2 linked regions of the Stegostoma tigrinum genome follow. The protein of the gene in region 2 purifies or fractionates together with the protein of the main gene of each other region. This does not show direct contact. Links are inferred from orthologs where the notes say so. Each region holds a gene or a part of one and is shown on either strand. Other genes may lie near its edges.

Region 1 (7,002 bases), on a different chromosome or scaffold from region 2:
AGTTACATACGTGTATCAAATTATAAATAGTTTTCCTTCAGTGCATTCTTGGAATGCATCAGGACAGATTAGCACAAGTAATATATTTGTTACCACAAAGTAAACAAGTTCAATTCAGATGCGTGCCCTTCCTGAAACTATGGCATTGAGACAAAGTCATCTCCAGTCCAACTAGTCAATGCCAATCATTTTTGCCCCTAACAAAACTAGCTGCACTTGTCTGCATTTGGCCAATATCTCTTCAAACCTTTCATGTTCATGTACCTGTCCAAGTGTCTTTGAAAATGTTGTAACTGTATCTGCATTCATCACTTCCTCTGGCAGTTCATTCCACACATGTGCCACTCACTGTATACAAGAGTGGACCCTCATGTCCTTCTTAAAATCTTTTCTCCTCTCACCTTAAAAGTATGCCCCCTTGTTTTGAACTCCCTCATGGCAGGCAAAGACCCTTGCTATTCAATTTATGTATGCTTCTCATGATTTTATAAACCCTCAAGGTTATCCCTCAAACTCCTCCTCTCCAATGAACTAAGTCCCAGAATATCCAGCCTCTCCTAAGAACTCAAGCCTTCCAGTCCCAACAACATCCTGGTAAATCTTTTCTGAATCCCCTCCAATTTAATAATATGTATGGTGACCAGAACGGCATATAGCACTTCAGAAGAGACCTCACCAATATCCTGTACAACCTCAACAGGACATCCCAAGCCCTGTACTCAAATGGTCTGAACAATGAAGACAGGCATACTAAACACCTTCATTACCTCCCTGTCTACCTGTGACAAATTTCAAATCCCCATGTCTCTGTTCTACAAAACACTCCCCATGGCCCTATCATTATTAGTGCAACTCCTGCCCTTGCTTGTTTTACCAAAATGTAATAGCTCACATTTATACAAATCAAACTATCTGCCAATCCTCACCCCATTAACCCAAGTGATAAAGATCTCTTTGGAATCTTAGACAACCTTCTTCGTTGTCCACTATACCACCAATTTTGAATATCTGCAAGCTTACTGGCAAAGTCTAAATGTTTATCCAAATCATTTATATCAATAGCAAAAGTGGACCCGGCACCAATCCCTCTAGAACACTAAGTAACAGGCCTCCAGTCTGAGAAACAACCTTGTATGACTACCCTGTCTCCTTCCACCAAGCTAATTTCGTATCCAATTGGCAAGCTCACCCTGAATCCCATGTGACCTAACCTCACTAATTAATCTACCATGTGGAACCTGTCAAAGGCTTTACTGAAGTCTATGTAAACAACATCTATTATTCTTTTGATTACATCCTCAAATGAGGTCAAAAATCAAGTCTGAAAGATATGATTTTCCTTGGACTAAACCGTGCCATCTATCCATAATCAGTCCATGCCTCTCCAAATGCATGTAAATCTTAAAATTACAGCATGTAGACAAACAAGAAAATAACCTTGCTTGTATACCTTTGTGGTGTGGCAAACTCACTCTTGGAAAGAGATCATCCTGCATATAGATTATCTCCCCTTCCTATTCCTTGCCAGAAATGAGCAGTATCTTTATATTGAAGAAATCCAATAGTGCAGGCACCCCTTACTTTAATCACATAATGCAGATTCTGTTTTTCGATAACATCTCCTGTTAACATCTCACACACTGGTACAACCTGGCCAGATCGTACTGCAGACTACACTGTTAAGGTGAGGCAAACTGATCATAAGGTGATTCCTACAATACTAGGATTCTAGAGCACCACAGTAGATAATAACATTCTTTACAACACTACTACTGCCAGTTTGCCCTATTAAAAAGGGACAGTATTTGCACAACAGTTTATTACATCTATCAAGGGCACAAAATGCCAGTATTAATGGACTTCCTCAACATGGGAACACATCTTTCGCTTACTGACATGAACATGCCAAAAACAGGAACATTTGCCATTTTAAAAGGACACAGTGTATTCCTGAGAAGCTTAATGCCACTTTCCCTCATCATATCAGAACAAAGCAAATCAACCCACAGAGCTCCTGCACAAAATTTGTCTCAAAAGCAAATGCTGAAAAAACCAAACTCAGCAGGCCTACCAGCATTTGTGGAGACAGAAGTAAAGTTAACATTTCAAGTCCAATAAAACTCAAATTTGTATTATTACACTGGGTATCTGTCAGTTGTCTGACCACAACGGTGCTGAGAACCATTAATTAAGTCCCTGATCTTGCTGGACATATTTAGCATGACCTGTCTCAAAAAAAAACAAAATAAGGGAGGCCACAAGCCCCACCTAGACACCCTTTTATAAAGGGCCATACTTAAAAGACACTAGTTTTACGACTACTGCAGGGAACAATCACCCTGCACACAAAAAGAAAACTTTCTGGCATCTGTCCCAAACTGACCTTTATCAGTTTCTAGCCTTGTCATGAACCAATTTCAAATAGTGCTAAGGATTAACCATCTAAATTTAAGTATCATTAGGTATCACTGTCGCATTCATCATCTTTCTCTTTTTTTCCTAGCTTCTCCTCATAACTGAGTCCTCTGAAATGATTCAACCTTTTTTTTTACTGTCAGAGAGACTCCACCTGCATCTTTGCCCATCACTGTTCATGCGACGACTCCACCTCTGTCCCTCCCCTTACAACTGTGCCCCTCACGGTCCCAGTGAGAGCCTCCCTTGTACAGTAGCTCTTATCCATTACTGTAGCAGTGTCAGTGACTCTTCACCACCTCAAACGAGAGAGGTCCGTCTTGCGAGGCTGCCTTTGCTGGAGAGTCCCCTATCCGTGGCGAGCCCGGCCCTTACCTTCCTTTTCCTGCTCTCCGCAGTCCCACTCCACACAAAGCACTGGTAAATTACTCGCAGGCTCTGCTTCCAATTGTCCGCCTTAAAACTGTTCACATGGGAGCACCCGGCCGGACTCATGACAGGAGCCGCACCACAAGCACTGCCGCCAACGCGCAATCTCGGGCCGCAAGCTGTCCCCGCAACGCCTCCTCCTCCGCCGCTTTCCACCCCCAAAGCGCCGCCCGCCGCCGTCGCGGCTCCGATTATTTATATGAAGAAAAGCCCATAGTGTCGGCAAAGGATGATGGTCGTCAGGCGGCAGCGCTCCGGGAGGAGGAAAGCAAACTCGCCGAAACTGCAGGAAGTCCCACCTACCCCTGCAGAGTCATTGGTCAAGATGCCGGGCCCTTTACACAACCTGTCCTCCGATTGGTTAGCGTTACTATCCATCACTGCGCGGGACCGGAGGTTTTTCTCGCCTTGCGGAGGGAGGGTAGCAGAGACAACGCACTGGCGGATGTCCCGCCCACATGCTGTGCTCCGATTGGATAACATCCGGCCCTTGTTTCCTGCTCCATTTCTAATTGGTTGTTGTGCTGTCTATCGGCTGACGGTACCGGTATAGAGGACGGGCGTTTGAGCGATTTGAATGGCGTGAATGCGCTGCTTCCGGTTCCTGCTGCTAAGGCTTCCTGTTACTGGCTGGCTGAGGTTTTAGGGCCTCCTCATTTGTTAGGTTTTTCTCCTTACGTTCTATTGAAAGTACATATGGTTGCCTAAATGTCGCTGTTATGTGAATTGTTGACTTCATTTGTGTAATGGAATCTCCCGCCGGCGCCACCGATTTTTGTCTTGTTCGCCCATGGGTGCCTTCCTGACTCCACCCTGTAGGCCTTGGTTTAGCTGAGCACCTTGCCACCTCCGTCCTATCTCATCTCTTAAAGACTTTCAAAATAACTTGGCCAGTTGGTTGTTCTGCTGGTGGAGAGATTAATCTATGTGTCCCGGCACCTTTTTTAGCTGTTTTTTAATTTCTCTTATTTGCACTTTTCCGGGCGTCCGTATTTTCATAATTTTAAGCGTTTTCTTTAAAGTCCGAGCGAATTGCAAAGGGCAACTGTGTAATGTTTTTCTGAATCCAACGTGGTATCTAGCATTTTGTGTAGTTAATCTAGTTGGGCACCGCAAATTCCCACATTCAGCTTTGTGATAGAGATAAATTAATTGCTTTGAATAGTGGAGTGGAATCTTTTATTCTTCAGAGGGCAAATGAGAGAAGTCTTAAAAATGAGTTCCAATTGTACATCTACTCTTATCAGTATACTGGGAGTGTATGCCTCCTTGGTACTGGTTAAGGTTGCATTTTGTGTTTTTTTTTGGGTATGGCCGGGTGGAATCAGCAATCATTCTGCCCCCTTTGTTTAGGGATTGTGTTCAAATCCCTAGAAAATGTCTTCAACTCAGTATCCTCTGACCCAAGGACAAATGTGTTACTAACCAAGCCATAAATTACCTTGTGGTTTTAGCCTATTTTTTTAATAAGCCTCTCTCAAATATGTCATTGTTTGGCCAACATGAAGGTTTATGGTGCAGAAAATGGACCTTCAGCCAATCAAGTCTGTACTAGTCAAAATCAACCACTTAACTATGCTACACCTATTTCCCACCACTTGATCTTTGGCATTGCAGGTGTAAGCCTATATGCTGTTTCAATGTTATGAGGGTTTCTGCTTCCACCACCCTTACAGGCTGCGGGCTCCAGATTCAAAGTCATGTGACTTGGAAACACCCTAACTAGTCAATGCTGATCATTACCCAAACTAAACTAGTCTCGCTCCGTGTTTGACCCATATCCCTCCAAATTTTTCATATTTCTGCCACCCTCTGGGTGAAAACATTTTTCCTGAAAATATCCTGCCCCTTTCCTTAAATTGTGACCCTAGTCATTGATCCCTCTACCAAGGAGAAAAGTCTCTTCCTGCCTACCCTTTTGATGCCCCTCATAATTTTATATATCTCAATCATATCCACCCTCTGTCTCTTCTATGGCCAGGAAAACAACCCAGATCATCCCATTTCCCATGACCAAAACTCACCACCCCAGGCAATGTTCTGGTAAATCTCTGCCAACACTTAGTCCCATGACATCCTAGCAATAATGTGGATTCCAGAACACACATACAAAAATACCCCTTGTCCATCACACTCCACTTCCTGCCACACAGCCAATTCTGATTACAATTAGCTATATTTCCTTAATCCCATGTGCTCTTACCTTCACTATCATTTTCTCTGAAGCTTTGCTGAAGTCTAAGAAAACTACACAAAAAGCATTGCCCTTCTCTACACACCTGGTTACTTATTTGAAAATTCAGTCAAGTTAGCCAGACATGGCACTTAACAAAATCCTGTTGACTGTTCTTGCTTAATCCATGCCTCTCTAAATGCTGTCCCTCAGAACTGCTTCCAATCGTTTCCCCTACACTAAGGTTTAACTGACTGGCCTGGAGTTTGTTGGTTTATAGCTTGATCCCTTCTTAAAAAAACAGTACCACTTCGTTTGCCCTCCAGTCTTGAAAATTATTGCCAGCAACCCCCCATTTCATTCCTCACAACAGCCTGGGATTCATTTCATCCAGCCCTGGAAATTTATCTACTTTTAAGCCTGCCAGATTACTCAGAGCTACTAGTCTATGCTAATTTATTTACATTTATCACAGTCTTTCTCCTTGATTTCTAAACCCACATTGTCCCTCACAAATGATCACTAACACAAAATATTAATTTAGAACCCTGTCTACATCATCGAGCTCTACGGACATGAAATTACTAAGAAAGAAAGCCGAAAAAGCTGGAAACGTTTGGTTGACCTGCCATTTGTGAAAAGAGAAACTGTCAATTTTGCACATCTCACCTTTTATCAGGATTAAGAAAAATTACAAATGTACTATTCTCTTTTTTCTCCCCCCTCCTTGTCCTTAGCAAGATATTTACTATCAACGCACTTTTAAATGGTTTTGGAAAGGAAAGGAATGATTAATGATAGTCAACATGGCTCTGTGCTGGGAAATCATGCCTCATAGCTTGATAGAGTTTTTTGAAGAAGTGATGAAGAAGATTCATGGAGACAAAGCAGTAGCTGTTGTCATTTTTGACTTTGGCAAGGCATTTGACAAGGTTCTGCATGGTAGACCGGTAAACAGGGTTAGATCACATGGAATCTGAGGGGGCTAGCTAAACAGATATGAAATTGATTTTCAAGGGTGGTTTTTCCAGACTTGAGGCCTGTAACCAATGGTGTGCTGCAAGGTTTGGTGCTAGTTCCACTGCTTTTTGGCATTAATATAATTTATTTGGATGTGAACAACTTTTCTTTGAACTCCACTCACATCCTTAAAGTGAACTGAACAAGGCAGCCATCAACTGATAAGAGTGTACTAAAAACACTGATAAATACACTGTGGGCAGTGTTCACATCAATCATACTAGTTTTGATTGATTGTCACATGTACCGAAATACAGTGAAAGTCTTTGTTTACAAGCAGTATGGGCAGATCATAGTAAGCAAAGAATGTACAGATCAAAAAGACTTAGACACAGACTCCATTCATGTGTCTGATGATGGCTGGGATGAACCTGTTCTTGAACCTGCTTGTGTGTGTGTTCAGGTTTCTGTATCTTCTGCCTGATGGCGGAGGTTGTAGGAGATTATTACCGGTGTGTCATGGGTCTTTGATGACGTTGGTAGCGTTTCTGCAGTAGCAAGCCATGTAAGTGGATTCATAACCAAAATTTTCGTTTAAATAAAAGATTTTGATAGACAATAAATTTTTTCATATAAAACATCAATATCTGCAGAAATCAATATTTATATCAGGGATTTGTTCTGAATTATTATTTTGTGCTACTTTGCTTTCTCCATGTAATTTTTTGAAGGCTTTAATGCTCCTAATTCAATTTAGCAGATTAGCACTGAGAAAATCCAAACTGTATTTAAGAGGAATAAAAGATTTTTAAAACTTCAACTCTACACAGAAAATTATTACTATCTATTCATTAGAAACTAGGACTAGATCAACAGCTCTGTGTAAAGGATATAGCTTCTGAAAGAAAAACAGAAAATTAACCCCAGGTAATTGACATTATCCATAACATGAGAAGGAATCTAAAATAATTAAAACTTATCAATTCAGTTAAGTTGACTAAACAAAGTTTGTATTATCAGTTTGT
Region 2 (7,881 bases):
CAAATAATGCAAGATTAAAACATTTAGTAACCACCCACCAAGCCAGGTTCTGCTGTTACAAAAGTGTATACTCAACGCAGATGCTGTTTTCAACATCAAACAGGTATCAAAGCTGGTCTGACAACATCCGCTAAGCCATCATGACAAATTTAGACTCTGGGCGCTTGAAAGGCCATGAAGTCAGTAAGTTAAATCATATTTGATACCTGGTCCTGTGTTCAAAATGTTTGAAAGAAACCAGCAAGAGAACAAATAGTGATGAAGAAAAGAAAAAGGCTAAAAATGTTAGAATTATAAATGCACATTACACTGGGGAGAAGGTTTAAATAAAAGTAAATAATGACAATATGGACAGGAAGTCAACCCAAACATTTTTAAGTGCAACTTAAAATTGGTGCAAATGCTTCTTGTAGTCTACAAGCATTAGATTAATAAAACATTAGTTTTAATGGATACTTGTTCACCATAATGAATTCAAATTTAACCAGTAATAGGTAGGTAGCATTTTCCTATTAACAATCGAGATTAAATATAACAATGATGTTCAATTTAGAGTACAGTGGCCCAAGAGACTCCACTTATCGAAGCCCAAGAAAACAAGTCATTTCTCAGCATAAATAGTTGTCAAATTGAACAATAAAAACATGAAGTACAACATTTTTAACCTTGATATTAGACATTTTTTTAAAAAAGTTATTCGTTTGTCATTTATTAAAAAAAAATCACAATGACTTTCTAACCTAGAAAATCAATTTTTCCTGTTAACAACATCTCCCAACTATCAAATTAAAATTAAAGGGGAGTTTTTGTTGCATTAAAATGCCTTGTAGATCCATTAATCATGTTCCATGCCTACAAGTATGCACGGAAGTGATCATCATTACATGGTTTTACAGATTGAGTAAAATCGAGTTTCAAGTAAACCAGTATTGGATACATTTGCCTCAGAAACTGATAAATGTTGGCAGAAGGAATGAAATAGAAGTCCGTGTCAGCAAACACTCATCAAGTTTACAGAGTTCACTCTGAACAACGTTAAAACAGGTTTGTACCCGAACTCAAGAACACACTTATTGAATCAGTACAAGTTTTTCGATTTCCATCTCAACAGTGCAGCCTCAATGAAAGTCAGATTAGGGCTGAATTGTGAGCAGTTGCGTGCCATGATCTATTGTCCAAGGCACTAACTGAGAAGGACTATCTAAAATAATTCGGTTTGAAGATCTTTACAAACATCTTGCTTCAGCTAGATAGATTCAAACCAAAACACCAGTTCCTAAAATTTAAAAAATGTAGGTATTGTAACAAGATCAACACATCCATCTACAACATTTTTACTGAATTTTATTTAATACTTCAGCAGTATTCTAAAATTTAAATTAGAGCATTTGCACACTTAAGAATAGGAATGGAGGTCCAGTCCAGTTCCATTTCACAATCTGATTTAAACTGAAACTTAACTCTGCAACCAGTATACACATCAACATCTAAACTGCAGATGATCCAAGGTCTAACAAATAGAAGGTAAGGTGGGTAAATTTTAAGTATCAGTTTTTCCTCAATGGTCACTCCTGCCAGTTAGAATAGAGACTGTTAGCCACAATTTATGGATATTTTAAAGTTAGTTTACATGGCACAGTTCAAAATTTACAACTTTTCTATCTGAAGTTTAAAATTGGACTAAATACTAAGTTTCACGAAAACAAATCAGTGACAATTTAGTGACAAGGTATATTGCTCAGCTTGAGCACAGAGTCGGGCATAAATGAAACCAAAAATAGCTAACATTAACCTCTTGAAGTAAGCTAATATTGTGGTGATGAACTTCCGTAGAATCATCGAACATAGTGGAATACCAGATTATGTTGTATTACAGTACTATTCGTGATTTCAAGTTTGATTTGCTACAAAATATAATCTAGAACCACTCCCTCATTACCTGAGGAACAAGACAGTAACTGAACCCTAACACGTAGATTACGGAAAGCAACTTTTTAAAAAATTAAGTCTACGAAATCATTACGTGGGTGGGGGAAGGAGGAGGAGGAGGAGAAGGGAATGGGAACTTGGAACGTTTCGTTGGTTGACCTAGCTCCTACAAATATTTGGGTAAACCATGAGTTCTGAATACATCCATGTAACAGGCCCCCCTTTTGGTCTAGTTGCCAGTGCCTGCGAAGCAGAGTCACCAGCCCGCGGTTAGGAGCCTGTACAACAGGCAGGCAGAAGCAGGAACACTGCAAAGTTTGAAGCCACCACTCACCTTCCCGGCTCAGCCGCATCACCTCCCGGTTTTTCCCACACTCCTTAAAAGTTTCTTCCAATTCGGTGCCTGTGTAACAATTGGACACATCAGTCAGTCAGTCACTGAGTTACACTTGCCTGCCTTGCCTGCGCCAAGTCGGCGCTCAAACATCCCGGGCCCGCTCGTCGCTTCGCCGCTAAAAGTCTTTTCTAAGATTAAAGAGCGTTTTGGGCTCACCGTCCGCCCCGTGCTGTTTGGCGGCATCGATCCAGTGGGTCCAGGGCTGTCCCGCCAGCGCCTCCGGACTGGGTAGTCTCCTCTCCACAGTCGCCATTGCTGATCCTTCTTGCTGCCCGGCCGCGCTTCGGGCCGCGGTGACGTCAGCCTCGGCCGTTTCCGCCATCTTTTCGCTACATTCTGGCAGGAATTCACCCTCCCCTTTAACTGGAATCCCCTCCCCTTTAACAGGAAGCGCTGCTGGGACTGCAACATTGGGGCAAGTTTCTCTGGCCCTGCGGCCCACTCTGCCCCTTTAACAGACCGACAGACTTAACAAATGTACCGCCTCGCAGGAAACAGTTCCGGTTATAACCTATGAAATGAATTTCTTGCATAAATACTTAGAAGATTTTACTTGTTTGGTTTTTTCGCGGAGAACAGCAGGGTGAAGCTCTTTCGAAAAGCTACAGAGACTGAGTGGCTTCCTGTGTTGTATCATTCTAGAAACTCGTGGATGTGTTAAACACCACTGTGAGGATGCTTGCCAGAATGCTGTTGTCCACCAGAAATAGTGACTGTTGGTGCTTTCCCGCATTGATCAGAAAGGAAAAGCTGGGTAGTAGAGCTAGCTGAGATGTTCTTGCATTGAACCAGCGCAGAAATAATGGGCTGAATGGCCTGTTTGTATCGCAAGCATTTTGTGATGCTGTTGTCGGCCCTCTTGCTATTTGCTTCAGCACCATCATGACTGGCCGTGAGATGGAAAGAAAACAAAAGGCACAGAAACAATAACCTTACTGTTCACGAAGACTTGAAACCACCAACCCCAACTCCCACCCCGCCCCGCCAGCACCAAATAAAAGTGCAGGCGCCAATGTCAGGAGCAACAGCTAATATTCGAATAGGGCTGACATCAAACCCCTATCCAGATAAGGAAAGGTGAAACCTATATAATACATAAACCCAATCATTACTGACCCAACTGCAGTGGTGTCTGGCTTCGATAATCCTCGATGATAACGGGCAACACTCTACAGCATCTGCAAAGGGCTTGGTGATAAAGTCAGCTTCTCCTTTAATGCAGAACTGTCTGAAATGTAATGGTGGTCATAAACACAGACTATGGAACACATCAAATTACTCACTAAAACTAGTTGTGGGGGCTACCTCGTCTCTCCACTTGCAATCTCAGGCCATCGCATGGCCAACTAAACTCGATATCCCATGAGAAGCTATTCCTGTCATAGAAAAGGAGTCGTATTCTATAAACTTGCGTCTGGATTTCTTCTCACCTGCTACCCCCCCCCAGGGTATAACTGCAAATATGTTACCTGCATCGATTGAAAAGGCGTTTAAGGTTGCAGCTCAACGATTCTGGAAATTTATTGCATCATTGGTGTATTATTTATGTTTTCTTATTCCTTAAATAAACGGGTACGTCGAGGTGGTTTAGTTTAGATAATCACGATTACCACATAACTTTTAGGGGAATGGTGACGCGCAGTTCAGTGTTTTAAAATGACAGATTATCATTTCATCTACCCTCGATATCTGTGTGGTGCATCTGTATTTGGTGGCAGGTGCTGGCTTCTTTAACATAAACAGAGCAGCGTTGCACTTCCTAAACGGAGGACGTCAGGATCCAATCACCTACGCTGTAACCGCGCGTCACGGCCGGAGTTCCAGCCCAGTGAGAGAAGCTCCAAATCCGAACTTCTCTATCAGCAAAACAAACAGCTGGAGTGGTTGACACTTCAAGTGGTTGTTAGTTTGCAGATATTAACAGACATCTCCATTTGACGATTAGTAATACAGCTTATAAGGTGGATAATTCCCATCAGCACTAAAACGCACCTTTTTTGTGCCCCTAAATAAGATCAAAACACGTGTTTTCCTCTCAAGCTTTTTATAACATGATGCGGGCTTCCTCCCACAGTCGAAAGATTTGCAGGCTAGGTGGATCGGCCATGTTAAATTGCCCGTAGTGTTCAGGGGCATGTGGGTTATAGGGAGATGAGTTTGGGTGGGATGTTTCAAGGGGCGGTGTGGACTTGTTGGGCCGAAGGGCCTGTTTCCACACTGTAGGGATCTGATCTAATCTAATCTAATCATATGTAGTAAGTTAACTATTTTATATCTTCTTGTTAAGTTTGTTATTTGTAGTTCTGTTCATATAGAAAGTGTATGTCTAGGTCCCTGAATTAAAGCTGTATCCTCTCCTCTGACTGTTATTTACTGATTATTTGCTCAATTAAGCCCTAAAACGTATTCTGTCATTGAAGCATCATCAACATCATATAATGGACAAAAATTAAAATAATACTATTTTAAAATCAACATTAAAATTTAAATTACTTGCAAATAAAACCTTTAATGGAACTATTTCACACGAGAGTCTTTCCCTCAGAATTAATCTGAAAAAATATTCATATAAAAAAATTAGTAATGAGTTTATAAGTGGATGAAGGTACAGACCTAACTGGGAGACCAATCAGACCATTTAAGTTCACTGTTGATTTATAGTATATTCTTATCAAGAAAGTCATTGAGATAGATGATAAAACATGGCTCTAGCTGGAATATTTCTCGCCGAATTTGTGGAAAATCTGATGGAGAGAAAAATTATCATCTTTGAGTGCACACATTCCATCTCCACTCTTTCTCTCACCTCACATTTTATTCTCTATCCTTTCCCCTTTTTTTTGCATCCCAGCCCTCTTACCACCTTATACCCATTCCTTTTAAAATATACAACAGCTTTTAGCTCTTCCCCATTCAATATCTTCTTCCTTTTAGGTCTTCCACTGAACCTCTTCATCTCTCAATCTTTCCATCCCATTGTGAATTTACCCTTTCTTTATGCCCCTACCAATAAAATGCCTCATCTGAAAATACATCCCACCAATAGGTTCTCCTTAGCCCAGAGGGCCATTAAGCCATATGTCCTATGTGTCTCTGATAATCTGTGGATATTGCAGGAAATTGGAACTGAGGTAAAAAATCAGCCATGATCTGCTTTCATGGTGGAGAAGGCTCAGGGGGCCAAATAGCCTATTTCCTTTTCATTGTGTAGATCAGAGAAATGTAATGGAAATAGAAGCATGTTAGAATGTATGATTCAAAGTATGAATAAATTATTTCTGCAAAAGGAAGTATAATTATCTTCATTTCTTCACCCTACTTCACATAAAATGACATTTGTTTTAGTTAGTGTGTTGTGCAGTGATATATTAATTAATAATACACATAAAATGAATTATGTATGCAAAATGTTTAATTGGTACATCACAACATCCCATTTAAAATAATTGTCGTTAAGATGCTTTAAGGTTTAGGTTTATCTGTAATACCTGGTACACTTGCAAATTTTACATCGACGGACCTTTGTGATGTTAATGATCGATTATTTGATTGATTTATTGTCACGTGTACTGAAATACATTGAGAAGTTTTGTTCACAAGCAGTACAGGCAGATCACAACAAGCAAAGGATGTACAGATCAGGAAGATTTAGAGGCATACAGATTACATTATTTGAGGCAAAAGTCCATTTAACAGTCTGATAACGACCAGCTGTTCCTGAGCCTCCTCATGCGTGTGTTCAGGCTTCTCTATGTTCTGCCTGACGGAAGAGGTTGTAAGACACCATTGCTAGGGTGCAATAGGTCTTTGATGATATTGTCTGCCTTTCCGCGGCAGCAAGCCATGTAAATAGAGACAATGGCTGGAAAGTGGCTTCCATGGTAACCTGAGCTGTGCACACCACTTTCTGCTGTTTCTTACTGTCCTGAGTAGAGCAGTTGCCACACCAGGCCATTATGCACCTGTACAGTATGCTTTTGATGTGCATCTATACAAGTTAGTGAAGGATCTTATGGACAGGGCAGATTTCCTGAGCTGCCTGAGGAAGAAGAGGCATTGTTGCGCCTTCTTGACTGTCACATTTACGTGGGAAGTCCAGGACAGGTCATCAGTTATCGTCACTCCTAGGAACTTGATGCTCTTCACTCTCTCAACCTCAGTTCCATTGATGAAGATGGGGGCGTGTTCTCCCCTTTCTTTCTGAAGTTGATGATTAGTTCTTCAGTTTTACCAACATTGAGAGACAGATTGTTTTCATTGTAGCATGTCACCAAGCCCTCTATCTCCCTTCTGTATTTTCACACATCATTATTAGATATCCATCCCACTACAGTGGTGTCATCAGTGAACTTGTAGATGGTGTTCATTTGGAATTTGGCAACACAGTCGTAAGTATACAGGGAGAACAGTAGGGGGCTGAGGGCATATCTTTGGGGGGGCTCCAGTGTTGAGTGTTATTGTGAAGGAGGTGCAGTTACCTATCTTCACTGATTACAGTCTGTGGGTCAGAAAGCTGAAGATCCAGTTGCAGAGGGTAGAGCCAAGACCAAGGTCATGCAGTTTTGAGATCAGTCTGGAGGGGATAATGGTGTTGAAGGCAGAGCTGGAGCCAACGAGCAGGAGCCTGACATAGGTGTCTTTGTTATCTTATTGTTCTTTTAATGCATAGTTATTATATCTAGGAGTCTTAACATCCTAACTTCTAACATTATAGTTAACATTTAAAATTGAGTTTTGCATTCTGCATTCAGAGTACAGTCACCAGGGTTTCTATGGAGCAACCTACACTTCAGTCTCCAGTGGTATCAGCTGTGTTGGTCAACAGTGAAGATAAAGAGGAAATCAAAACTATAAATTTAAGCCAATTTTATTTGGCTTTGTACAAATCAACTAGAGAGTCTCACTTGGGCAGTTTACTTTCACACTTTCCATCATTCATCAAGTTCTGTGCCTCTGGATATTTCTTGTGGAAATTCTGATCTCCCCTCGTAAAACTGATTCCCAACAACTTCCTACCTAGCCTTACTATTTTATGCCTTCATAATGAAGCAGTTCTGCACCTTTTGAGCAATCCTTGGTAAGCTATATCCCTTCTGCTGAAACAGGTTCAAGGGGCTGAATGGCCTACTTCTGTTCCTATGTTCTCCAAGCTCTTGCAAGGCTTTTGTAGAAAATGGGTCTCAGTGCCTGAATGTATGCTGCTTCTCACAAGCATAAGTGAGCCACTTCATGTGCTTAATTAGCTTAATTTTGTTGCTAGTATAGCTATTAGCACACTCAAGAAAACAAAAGGAATATATTCAAGCCTTGTGCCTTTTTAAAATGATCCAAGAAATGGGGAAGCCTGTTTCTCCTTGATACTTTCTTTAATGGCAATACCTTGGCTAATCAGCATTCCTTATTCCCATCATGTAAATTGTTATCACAAACAAAAACAGAAATTGCCGGAAAAGCTCAGCATGTCTGGCAGCATTAATCAGAGTTAACGTATAGGGTCCAATGGTCCTTCCTCAGAACTGATGGCAGCTGGGAAAATGTTGGGTTTTTATGCCTAT

What was found.
Region 1: the proteins of ataxin-7 (region 2) and usp22 purify together in Homo sapiens (affinity purification with western blotting; 7 studies listed by BioGRID and IntAct, with this or other methods). This does not show direct contact. The link is inferred for Stegostoma tigrinum from reciprocal best matches to the Homo sapiens genes ATXN7 and USP22.

What each region holds. Positions count from the first base shown.
Region 1 is NC_081376.1:20,206,726-20,213,727, reverse strand, and holds the start of usp22 (ubiquitin carboxyl-terminal hydrolase 22), read right to left. Parts: upstream 3,096-7,002; 5' UTR 2,911-3,095; coding exon 2,791-2,910; intron 1-2,790. UniProt on the Homo sapiens protein: Deubiquitinase that plays a role in several cellular processes including transcriptional regulation, cell cycle progression or innate immunity.
Region 2 is NC_081364.1:48,247,024-48,254,904, forward strand, and holds the start of ataxin-7, read right to left. Parts: upstream 3,056-7,881; 5' UTR 2,649-3,055; coding exon 2,483-2,648; intron 2,333-2,482; coding exon 2,264-2,332; intron 1-2,263. UniProt on the Homo sapiens protein: Acts as a component of the SAGA (aka STAGA) transcription coactivator-HAT complex. Mediates the interaction of SAGA complex with the CRX and is involved in CRX-dependent gene activation.